Linked DNA regions of Callithrix jacchus. The protein of the gene in region 2 interacts with the protein of the main gene of each other region in a pairwise test. Links are inferred from orthologs where the notes say so. Each region holds a gene or a part of one and is shown on either strand. Other genes may lie near its edges. The genes, in order: CRX, PRKAB2 and CSNK2B.

Evidence for each region.
Region 1: the proteins of PRKAB2 (region 2) and CRX interact in binary tests that used the Homo sapiens proteins (3 or more experiments, as listed by UniProt). The link is inferred for Callithrix jacchus from reciprocal best matches to the Homo sapiens genes PRKAB2 and CRX.
Region 3: the proteins of PRKAB2 (region 2) and CSNK2B interact in a two-hybrid assay, tested with the Homo sapiens proteins (2 studies listed by BioGRID and IntAct). The link is inferred for Callithrix jacchus from reciprocal best matches to the Homo sapiens genes PRKAB2 and CSNK2B.

What each region holds. Positions count from the first base shown.
Region 1 is NC_133523.1:41,742,278-41,745,927, forward strand, and holds part of CRX (cone-rod homeobox protein), read left to right. Parts: intron 1-1,899; coding exon 1,900-2,051; intron 2,052-3,650. UniProt on the Homo sapiens protein: Transcription factor that binds and transactivates the sequence 5'-TAATC[CA]-3' which is found upstream of several photoreceptor-specific genes, including the opsin genes.
Region 2 is NC_133519.1:7,286,766-7,290,415, reverse strand, and holds part of PRKAB2 (5'-AMP-activated protein kinase subunit beta-2), read left to right. Parts: intron 1-1,704; coding exon 1,705-1,871; intron 1,872-2,675; coding exon 2,676-2,769; intron 2,770-3,000; coding exon 3,001-3,121; intron 3,122-3,650. UniProt on the Homo sapiens protein: Non-catalytic subunit of AMP-activated protein kinase (AMPK), an energy sensor protein kinase that plays a key role in regulating cellular energy metabolism.
Region 3 is NC_133505.1:39,169,871-39,173,620, reverse strand, and holds the start of CSNK2B (casein kinase II subunit beta), read right to left. Parts: upstream 2,645-3,750; 5' UTR 2,529-2,644; coding exon 2,453-2,528; intron 2,132-2,452; coding exon 2,049-2,131; intron 1,085-2,048; coding exon 982-1,084; intron 400-981; coding exon 284-399; intron 1-283. UniProt on the Homo sapiens protein: Regulatory subunit of casein kinase II/CK2.

The DNA.
Region 1 (3,650 bases), on a different chromosome or scaffold from region 2:
CACGGGGGCGACCTCACCATACACCAGCTCTCTGGGTTCATCTGAAATGCATGTCCCTTGGGAATGCAGGGAAGCACGGACAGTCCTAGAAATTTAGGATAGAGGTTCCTTTTAGGGCGGGGAAGAGGGGATGCAATCTGGAAGGGACAGCGAGGAATTTTCATCTGTTAGCAACACTTTATTATTCATTTATTTTTCAGAGTCAGGGTCTCACCCTGTCTTCTAGGCTGGAGTGCAGTGGTGTGATCATGGCGCCCCACAACCTTGAACTCCTGGGCTCAAGGGATTCACCCACCTCAGCCTCCAGGGTAGCTGGGATTGCAGGTGTGAAACATCAGGACTAGGCAGCAAAGCTTGTATGTGTGTATATATATATATATTTTATTTTTGAGACAGAGTCTCACTCTGTTGCTCACTCTGAAGTACAATGGTGCAATCATGGCTCACTGCAGCCTTGAACTCCTGGGCTCAAGCTATCCTCTTGCCTCAGCCTCCCGAATAGCTAGGAGTACAGGTACAGGCCACCATGGCTGGCTAACTTTTAAAATTTTTTTGTAGATTGTGCAGGATCTGGATTAATAAAACATACAAAAAATTATTATTTTTTTGTGAATATGGGGTCTCCCTGTGTTGCCCAGGCTGGTCTCAATAATCCAACTGTCTCAGCCACCCACAGCGCTGGGATTACAGGCATGAGCCACTGCACCTGGCCTACAAAGCCTTCTTTCTTTCTTTTTCCTTCCTTCCTTCCCTCCTTCCCTCCCTCCCTCCTTCCTTCCTCTTTCTTTCTTTCTTTCTTTCTTTCCTCTCTTTCTCCTTCCTTCCTTCCTTCCTTCCTTCCTTCCTTCCTTCCTTCCTTCCCTCCCTCCCTCCCTCCCTTCCCTTCCCTTCCTTCCTTCCTTCCTTCCTTCCTTCCTTCCTTCCTTCCTTCCTTCCTTCCTTCCTTCCCTTCCCCCTTCCTTCCTTCCTTCCTTCCTTCCTTCCTTCCTTCCTTCCTTCCTTCCTTCCCTTCCTTCCTCCCTTCCCTTTCCTTCCTTCCTTCCTTCCTTCCTTCCTTCCTTCCTTCCTTCCCTTCCCTTCCCTTCCCCTTCCTTCCTTCCTTCCTTCCTTCCTTCCCTTCCTTCCCTTCCCTTCCCTTCCCTTCCCCTTCCTTCCTTCCTTCCTTCCTTCCTTCCTTCCTTCCTTCCTTCCTTCCTTCCTTCCTTCCTTCCTTCCTTCCTTCCCTCCCTCCCTCCCTTCCTTCCTTCCTTCCTCTTTCTTTCTTCTTTCTTTTCTTTCTTTCTCTTTCTTTCTTTTCTTTTCTTTCTTTCTTTTTGACAGAGTTTCGCTCCTGTTGCCCAGGCTGTAGTGCAATGGTGTCATCTCAGCTCACTGCAACCTCCGCCTCCTGGGTTCAAGCGATTCTCCTGTCTCAGCCTCCTAAGTAGATGGGATTACAGGCGCCTGCCACCCCACCTGGCTAATTTTTATAGATCCTTATTTTTGAGTGAAGTGAGCACTCAGTTATTTGTAGTGTTATTCTTTAGCTGGTTTTTTTTTCCCCACTAAGTTGAGCGGTGTGGACTTGCTACTTTTATAGGCTAGAAATTGTTAATGTCATGCTTCAACTGAATGTGTCTTAGACGGTGCATGAGAGAGTTTCGAAGAGGGAAAATGACTGACACATATATTGGATGGATACACTGCCTTGTAGGGCTAAAGCCAGTTCCCCTTGGGGTCAGGCATGAGCCCTAGGATGCCAGGACAGGGTGAGGTGTAGGAGGGCAGGGAACGTGTATTCCACCCCTAGTTCAGCAGATGGCACCCAGGATGGAATTCTTGGCATCCCACCAGCCTCAGGGCCTCCTCATGGCAGCAGATGTGGATGATCTGAGGGTCCTGTTTCCCATCCCACCCCAGGCGCCCCCAGGAAGCAGCGGCGGGAACGGACCACCTTCACCCGGAGCCAACTGGAGGAGCTGGAGGCACTGTTTGCCAAGACCCAGTACCCGGATGTCTATGCCCGCGAGGAGGTGGCTCTGAAGATCAGTCTGCCCGAGTCCAGGGTTCAGGTGCGGTGGTGGGTCCCCGGACCCCTCCCGACCCTTCCTGTGACCTTCCATGGGCCCTCCCTGGACCCAGAGTGATGGGAGGAGGGAGAGATCACAGGGTTACAGCCACAGTTATAAAGGGGACAAAAATTCCTCCCTCCGCCATCCCACTGATTCCCCACCTCTTACTGCTCTCACCGCCCTCCGATCCTCTCCGGCCACGCTGGCCTCTGACCTGCCTGCTGGGCACCCCCCTGCCTGGGGCCTTTGCACTCAGTGTCCTCTTTCTGAAATGCTCATTTTCCAGATAACCATATGGCAGGCCCCATCGCCTTGTTTGCGTCTTTGCTTATCCATCAATGAGACGCACACTGACCACAGCATCTCACCCCTCGGTGTTTCCCCGCGACCCTGATTCCATGCTGCCCCTTACCCCGCTCAATTGTTTCTTCCACAGTATTTATCACCCTCTAAGATACCATCTGATTTATGTATCTACTGTTTATTTAGGCTCTGTCTCTCCCAACTAGAATGTCAGTTCCATGGATGGACCCTCAGAGTAGTAGAAGATGGTTAATGCACATTTATGAACTGACTGACTGATGGGTGGGTGGGTGGATGCATAGATGAATGTATGTATGTGTGACTGTATATGTGTGTGTGTGTATGTGTGATTGGAAGCGTGGATGAGTGTCTGTGCATGCATGAGTATCTGTGTATGATTAAATGGATACATGTATATATGTGTTTGCATGAATGCACATAGGTAAGATAGATGGTTGAATGTATGCATGCATGATGTAGGTATACATGATGTATGTACACATGTACAGTTGTATGTATGCATGCATGAATGGATGGATGGGTGTATTTATATATGAGTGTATGCATGTATATATGATTGGACAAAGTGTGTGTTGTAGGAGGGTATATATGTATGATTGGATGGATTATGTGTGTATAATTGTATATTTGTATGCTTGTATGATCAGATGAATGGATGAATGTACATATGATGTACACATGTATAGATAGACCATTAATACATGTGTGATGCATGTGTGTATGATGTATGTACATACAATTGTATAAGATGGATGAATGAACCTATGTATGATGTATGTGTGTACACTTGTATGTATCATCAGATGGGTAAGCGTCTGGATAATGTATGTGTGATCAGATGGACTGGTGAATGTGTACATGACATATACATGTATGAGGTATGCATGTACGCTCAGATGAATGGATGCATAATGAATGTGTATATGGCGTATGTGTGTATAATTGTATGCATGTATTTTGTATGATGTATGCATGATGTACACATGTGCACACATGTATGTATAATTGGATTGATAAATGAAATGTGTGTTGTATGTATGTATGATTAAAGTGCAGCTATGTATGATGTATATGTGTACAGTTTATGTGTCTATAATTGTATATTTGTATGTTCATGTGATCAGATGGATGAATATATGTATGGTATATGTATGTATGATCAGATAGATGGGTAAATGTATGCATGGTGTATGTGTGTATGGTGTGTGTATAATTGTATGTGTGTATTATGTTTGTATTGGATGGATGGATGTAGGTGTGATGTTCATGTACACA
Region 2 (3,650 bases):
GCAAATTTCCAGACATTATATCAAATATTATTTTATCTGTAACATTTTAGATCTACTTCTAAAGATGAGGGATTTTTCTTTATTTGAACATAATCAGGGTATGTCTAGGAAGCTTTTTTACTTTATTTTAACATAATTACAGTATTATCTAGGAAGCTTTTTAAAAATAGATTCCCAGATCTTATATCTGAATCAGAATCTTAGGGTTATTCTTAGGCATATGTAAAATTCTTGCAATTCTAACACAGTCAGTCATGCAAGAGTACATTGTTCTGAGAATATGTAGTTTTCTCTTAAGTCAGTTCCTTATATAATGTGAAAGTCCTTTCAATTCTCTTTCTCTGTTTACTTTGGATTATCCTGCTACTGATGTCTCGTACTGTAGTTTTGGGGAATATCACGAGAATGTATGGAGGGGAAACTATGTCAACCATTTTGAAAAGAAGGCCCAAATGAATAAGCCAGTCCTTTTTGGGGGGGGGGGAAGCCCACATTATTCTATTTGGTAATATTTAGGCTTAATAATCTACAGTCTCATTTACCAGAGTCACTTAAACCAATCTGAAACAGGGGTCAGCAAACTTTCTGTGAAGGGCCAGGTAGTAACTATTTTAGACATTGTAGACCATGCAGTCTCTGTTACAGCTGTGCAATTCTGCCACTGTAGCTTGTAAGTAGCTATAAGTAATACAGGTAAACAAGGCAGGGATGGTGGCTCGCACCTCTGGTCTCAGTTTCTTGGGAACATGGCTTGAGCCCAGGAGTTCAAGGCTGCAGTGAGCTATGATCACACCACTCACTGCATTCTAGCCTGGGTGACAGAGCAAGGCCGTTTCTCAATAAATAAATAATAGGTAGACAAATAAGTGGAGCTGTTTTCAAATAAAACTTGATAAAAGCATCTGGCTCACTGGCTGTCTGCCAACTCTTGGTCCAAAGGATGATAATGAAAAGAAACAGGAGATGTTTTTTTTTGCAATCCCACATACCTCATTTGGTAAGATTACTACTCTTGATAAAGGAAACTGTATTTTCGATCTCTTGCTCCTTGAGGTTCTAGAATTTTTGTTCCTACTCCTGAAATAATTAGTATAAACCTAGCACAGGGGAGCAAGTAAGATTTCATAGCTACTTCTCAAGTTTTAAGAAATCAGTGATCCGGTTTTTGAGTTTTTACTGTTTCTTCTTTTTGTAACTTATTAGCAGAAATAGCGTTTATGAATTATGAATTTTGATGTCTCTAACTTCCATTACAGCTGGTAATTGAGAGCTATTCATATTTGCCTATAAAAATATATATTATTTTTTAATAGAACCATACTTTGTTTTTATATGTTTTTTTCTCTTAAAGACTCAGAAGTGTATAATAATTGCCTGCTTATGAGTTAAACTAGTGGTAGGGAATAGTTTTTTCTTGCTTTTTTTTGAAGGAGAGTCTAAGGCGCGGAAAGGGTGGATGATGCAGGTAGACTCAAAAGTCAGGCTATGATTTAGGAGGTACTTAAGCATAGGCCATTTGACCATTTTTGGTCCTAAATGAGTTTTTTTTTTCTATAATTTGTTCAAACTCAGATTTAGTTGCTGATTGTGGGGTTTATATCCTTAGCTAAAGCCTAGCATCCTTCTCTACCCTAGGGAGGAGAGTGACCTTTTAGAATTCTTGGGTCACAGTTTATTCTAGGGATGACCTACTCCTTCTTACAGCTCCCTGGGGACAAAGAGTTTGTATCCTGGCAGCAGGATTTGGAGGACTCCGTAAAGCCCACACAGCAGGCCCGGCCCACTGTTATCCGCTGGTCTGAAGGAGGCAAGGAGGTCTTCATCTCTGGGTCCTTCAACAATTGGAGCACCAAGATTCCACTGATTAAGAGGTGAAGACAAGTGTCTTGGTTGAATCTAAGGGTCCAGGAATAGTGACCTAATTTCTTTTCTCAGAAGAGAAACGCCACTGGACTACTTTTCCCCACTGCTAAGGACTCTCTCTAGAACATGCCCTTTCTGTGGCCACTTAGTATATCTGTGGGATTTTTTTAAACTTCATAGTGAGTCAGAGATGTTTTACCCCTTCGAATATGATTGCCTCAGAGGGATTCATAATAGCTTTGTGGCTCCATTCATTAGGGCTGTGCTTGTGGGAAGTCTTCTGTAACTGGCTGAGGCTTGTTGCCCTGACTTCTGCACTAAAGCAAAACACATTTTGAAGTTCTAGCTAGTCATGTTATTTGTTGCTCCCACAGCAATAATGAATGGTCTAACTGGTTGTCAGAATGGCCCATTGTATGGTAGGTCATTTTCCAGAAAAGGTTCACGGAAATAGAGAAAGGATACCTTGAGGCACTGTGTCCTGAACCTACCTATCTTCTTTGCACTGGCTAGGAGCTTGTTCTGCTGAAGCAACGTAGTTATGCTAGGGTGCACCATTCCAGAGGATTCATGCTTTTATTATTCTTTTCCAGATACTGGTTAAGAACTAACGTTGTTGGGAGGAGCTGGTAAATACACGTCCAAGATGATACAAAAGAGGAGAATGGGTTTATACATTGTTTTTCACACCAGGGGATACAGTGGCTTAGGAATCTGGGAGATCCTTCATGTGATACTGTGATTGCCACTTGTTTTTTATATTTGGTCTTCTGAAAGGAACTCGGCCTGTTTGCTTTTCTTTTTCTTCATAGCCATAATGACTTTGTTGCCATCCTGGACCTCCCTGAGGGAGAACACCAATACAAGTTCTTTGTGGATGGACAGTGGGTTCATGATCCATCAGAGGTAAGGCCTTGATCTCCAAGGGTAACCACTGACTTAGCAGCCCCATTTTAGCTGTCACTTCTGTCAAGACTGATGGGCAGCTGCTCCCCTACACTGGAGGATTTCTCTCTTGATAAAATATGGAGGTGCTGAGTCTAATCACATGTAAATTTTAGGATAAAAGAGGAAGGTTGGATGGAAAAGATGGATTTGAAAGAGAGATTCAGTATTTTTTTCTTTTCCCTGTTTCAGCCTGTGGTTACCAGTCAGCTCGGCACAATTAACAATTTGATCCATGTCAAGAAATCGGATTTTGAGGTGTTCGATGCTTTAAAGCTAGACTCTATGGAAAGTTCTGAGGCATCTTGTAGAGGTAATTTTGTAGTATTTACTCTTTTTTTGCTGTGTCTTTCTTGCACCTTCCCAAAAGTTGTTTCTGTATGTATATATATATAGAAAGAGAGAGACAGAGAAAGAAGAAGAGAGTGAGCCAGGGTGGGGCGGGGGGTGAAGGGGAGAGGGGGAAAGAGACATTGAGATTTCTCTTGTAAGCTTAGGTCTCTTCTTTGCTGCAGACACCCACACACACGCACATGCTAACAAAAGTCTCATGGTGTAATGTTTACCGTATCACATGTGATACACTCCATTTGCTACATTATCTTTTTTTTTTTTGAGACGGAGTTTCGCTCTTGTTACCCAGGATGGAATGCAATGGTGCGATCTCGGCTCACCGCAACCTCCGCCTCCTGGGTTCAGCCAGTTCTCCTGCCTCAGCCTCCTGAGTAGCTGGGATTACAGGCACGCACCACCATGCCCAGCTAACTTTTTGTATTTTTAATAGAAATGGGGTTTCACCATGGTGACCAGGATGGTCTCGATCTCTTGACCTCGTGATCCAC
Region 3 (3,750 bases), on a different chromosome or scaffold from region 2:
TTCTTCCAGTTAGGCAGACAACAAACCATCAGAGCCATTCACTGTTTGTTCCTTGAGGAAGAGCCAATCTATAACAACTCTCTGTTCAAGGTCTGTCTCCCTCCCTGAAAACGATCCCTTCAGGATGACCCCCAATCAGGATTAAATTCCAAGGCCCAAGTTCTGGGGTTCTTCCCCTCTTCTCAGCTAGCTTCCTTAGCTGGGCTGAAACATGACTTCTTGCTGCAGGAACCTGTTTCTCTTACTGCTCAGAAAGAGGCAAGTGGGAGCAGAGTGGCCTCACCATCTGGGCAATGCCACGGTTGGTAAGGATGTAGCGGGCGTGGATCAATCCATAAAGCATCTCGGCTGCCTGCTCAATCAAGTCACTCTGGTTGGGGTTGTCTTCCAGTTCTTCATCTGAAACACAGCCCAGCCAAATGCAACCACTTGTTTTTCAGCTTTCCTAGGTGCCCTGCCCATACCCAGGGGCTGCTAGCTATTCAGTTTGCCTAGCACCTACTTTTGAGCCTTACCCTATCCAACACCTGGGCATGTGACCCAGAAACCTGGGCTTCTGACGCTTTCACCAGCCCAAGGCAGAGCTCTGCCTTCTCTTCACACCTCGTCAGCCTCTGCCCTCTCCTCTCCTCTCCTCTCCCTCCCAACTCCCTCCTCAATACATAAATGCGACAATATCAATGCAGAAGATCAAACTCCGGACTAGAAGGTCCAAGGTAGGAGAAACAGACAGCAAATGAGACCCATGAGGAAACCCATTTTGGAATAGATCCGAACTGTGGATTTAAAAAGTATGGGAAACAAGTGATAATGCGTCACAAAACTAGACAAGAGTCAGGTGGAGGATCAAAATAAAGCATGAATTTGGGGTTAAGAAAATCAGAGAACCAAAGGAAATTTCAAAATTCAAGCAAGTGAATAGGGATCTGAAGAGAAAAAAAAGTACACGCACACACACAAACAACCCTGAGGGTGCCTCACCAGGCTCCAGGTCCAAGATCATATCTAGAGCTTGTCGATAGTGAGGGACCTGCTCATTGAGTCCAGTAAGATTAAATTTGTCCTGGATGTAGTCTTCATCCACCTGTCAGGATATGGAAGCCAAGAGGGAACCCATGTCAAAATCTCCATCTTTAACGTGAGCAAAATGCTCTAACTGATGCCTTGTTATCAACCTAACTGCTCTGTTCCCCCTTGTTTCTCACTTGAAACTCAGCAGAAGTACTCGCGTCTCTTCTCTGTTCACCTATACTCCCTCCCATAAAAGCTTTGGCTTTTGTTTTCTAAGGATAAGCAGGTACAGCAGTCTTTTTCTTAGAGAGACATTCTTTTCAAGATCTCTATCCTTATTCCTGTCTCCCATCGCTAGGAACCATTTTGTCCTCTCAGCTGGCTAAGGAAGGTGGAAGCTGAACAGCCTGGTTTCTGAACAAAAGATTTGGATACGTAGCATTTCAATTCTCCTAACGGCCACCTGAGACAGGTACTAGCAGTGCCACTTTAGTAATAAAAGACACACGCTGGGTGCACTGGCTCATGCCTGTAATCACAGCCCTTTGGGAGGCCAAGGCGGGCAGATTACCTAAAGTCTGGAGTTCGAGATCAGCCTGGGCAACCTAGTGAAACCCTGTCTCTACTAAAAATACAAAATTAGCTGGGCGTGGTGGCAGCCACTTGTAATCCCAGCTACTTGGGAGGCTGGAGCAGGAGAATCACTTGAACCTGGAAGGCAGAGGTTGCATTGAGGTGAGATCACACCACTACACTCCAGCCTGGGTGACAGAGCAAGACTCGGTCTCAAAAAGAAAAAAAGAGAAAGTCACAAATTGCCTAGTCCAACGTTATATTGCTGGAGGATGGCAGAGTTGGGACAGGCCCCAATTTTGCCACTTTAGCACAGATTTGCCGGGGGTTACTGAGGGGACTCTTCATTGATGGGAAGTTTTCAAGTAGCATATAAGAGAACGATGAGGAAGTGGAATATGTGGAGAAACGTCTAGTGGGAATCTATGTGGAGCTGGCAAGGAGGGGGGTTGAAGAGAACTCACTTCACAGAAGAATTCATTGCCACGGAGCCCACAGAACCAGGAAATCCAGGACACCTCCTCTGAGCTGCTCATCTTCACGTCAGCTGGAAAACGAAGAATGTCAGTAAAGCTCAAGTTCTCCCTCCTTGCCTCTGGTATCCTCCCTCCTCCCACATTCGGCCCTCCAACCACGGGAGACTTTAGAATTTGGAGCCGTCCTTTTTTAAAGGATCCCAAACTCTGAAACACTCCTCTCCAGCTCCTCTAATTTACGTCTCAGCTCCTTTTCTTTGAGGTTAAACACACTTTGGGGTCCCACCACTTGAGAGAACCCAACAGATACTTTGACCCACCAGCCTGACCCACATCCCTGGAGCTCCCGAAGGCCAGGGCCCTCTCTACTTTGTGTCACCTCCAGCACGGACCTCGGCTCAGGCTCCCTACCACTGCAGCTCTCTGCATGACCCCGGCGCCTTTCCCAAGCGTTTCGAAGTTTATCATTCTCTAGCAAGAGCCGGGCCCCTCCTCTTCTTATGGGCTGGAGCGACCGTCAAGTCCCTTTCACTGGAGTCCACACATCTTGCCTCCGCTCCTCAGGCCACCTCTCCCTCCTTTGTGCCGGACCTGGTCGCTTCCTCCCCCGCCCCCACATCAAAGTACGGAGACCCCATGTGCTGCTCCCAACAAGAGACTCTGAGTAGCGACGACCTCAGACTCACCGCCTGGACGGGGACCAGGACTGGGGTGGGGTAGGGAAGTCGCTAGTTCCAAAGAACGGCGGCGACCGCTACAGCGCAGGCCGCGGACCCGACCGCGGCAAGAGAAGTGGGGTGGGGGGGAGTGGAAATTGGGGAGGGTGGGGAAGAGGGCAACACGCAAGCGCCAAGGGTCAGGTGCTGCGATGGATGCCGGGACACGGAGTCCCAGGTAGAAAGAGAAACTGGTGAAATGAAGGAAAAGCGAACTACCAATCCCAGGAAGACCCGCGGACGACCTGGCTGTCACGAAGCCCCGGAGGAGGACGCTTGCGGGCGGGGCACAGCGAGAAGCCACCGGAAGCGGAAGCCAGGTATGACGTTTGGGGCCAGGGAGCCTGGGAAATATAGTTGTGTGCTCACTGGGAGAAAAGCCGAGATGGGGCGGGGAGAGGAGGGAGACACGCAGTTCCCGTCTAGTTCCGGCGCAGCGGGGCGCTGCTGCCCAGGGGACTGGCCCATCCCCGGCCAATCCGCTGGGTCCTTATTGATTGTTGAGCCCCTAGTGAGAGTCAGTCCCGCCGGACACCCTTGACTGGCCTCCTGTTACCCTCCCGGCTCTGGCCTCATGAGGCGAGAGGTGCAGTTTGGCTCCGTGCGTAGGGACTTGGGTTGGGTGGGCTGGGCTGAGCTGAGCTGAGCGTTGTGAGAACCAGAACGGCCCAGTGCGGTAACCTGAGGTGGGGCCAGCCATTTCGCTCGTCCCCTTGCACTTCTCCTTTTACGCTCTAAGTGTGACCTTAGAACCCTGGTCAGAGTAATGGTGAGGGGCAGGCGTGACGTTATTTCATTTCACGGCTTCTCGGCATTCCACAAGTTTCCCTCCGCCTCCTGAGGGCCTTTCCTAACACGGAGAGTGGATTCCCAGGTCCAGAAAATGGACTTGGAGCGAGGGGGCGGGGAGGGGGGCGGTTCACGTTGAGGAAGGCGAAGGGCATTGTGGGGGCGTATAGGTAAAAGTAGAACCC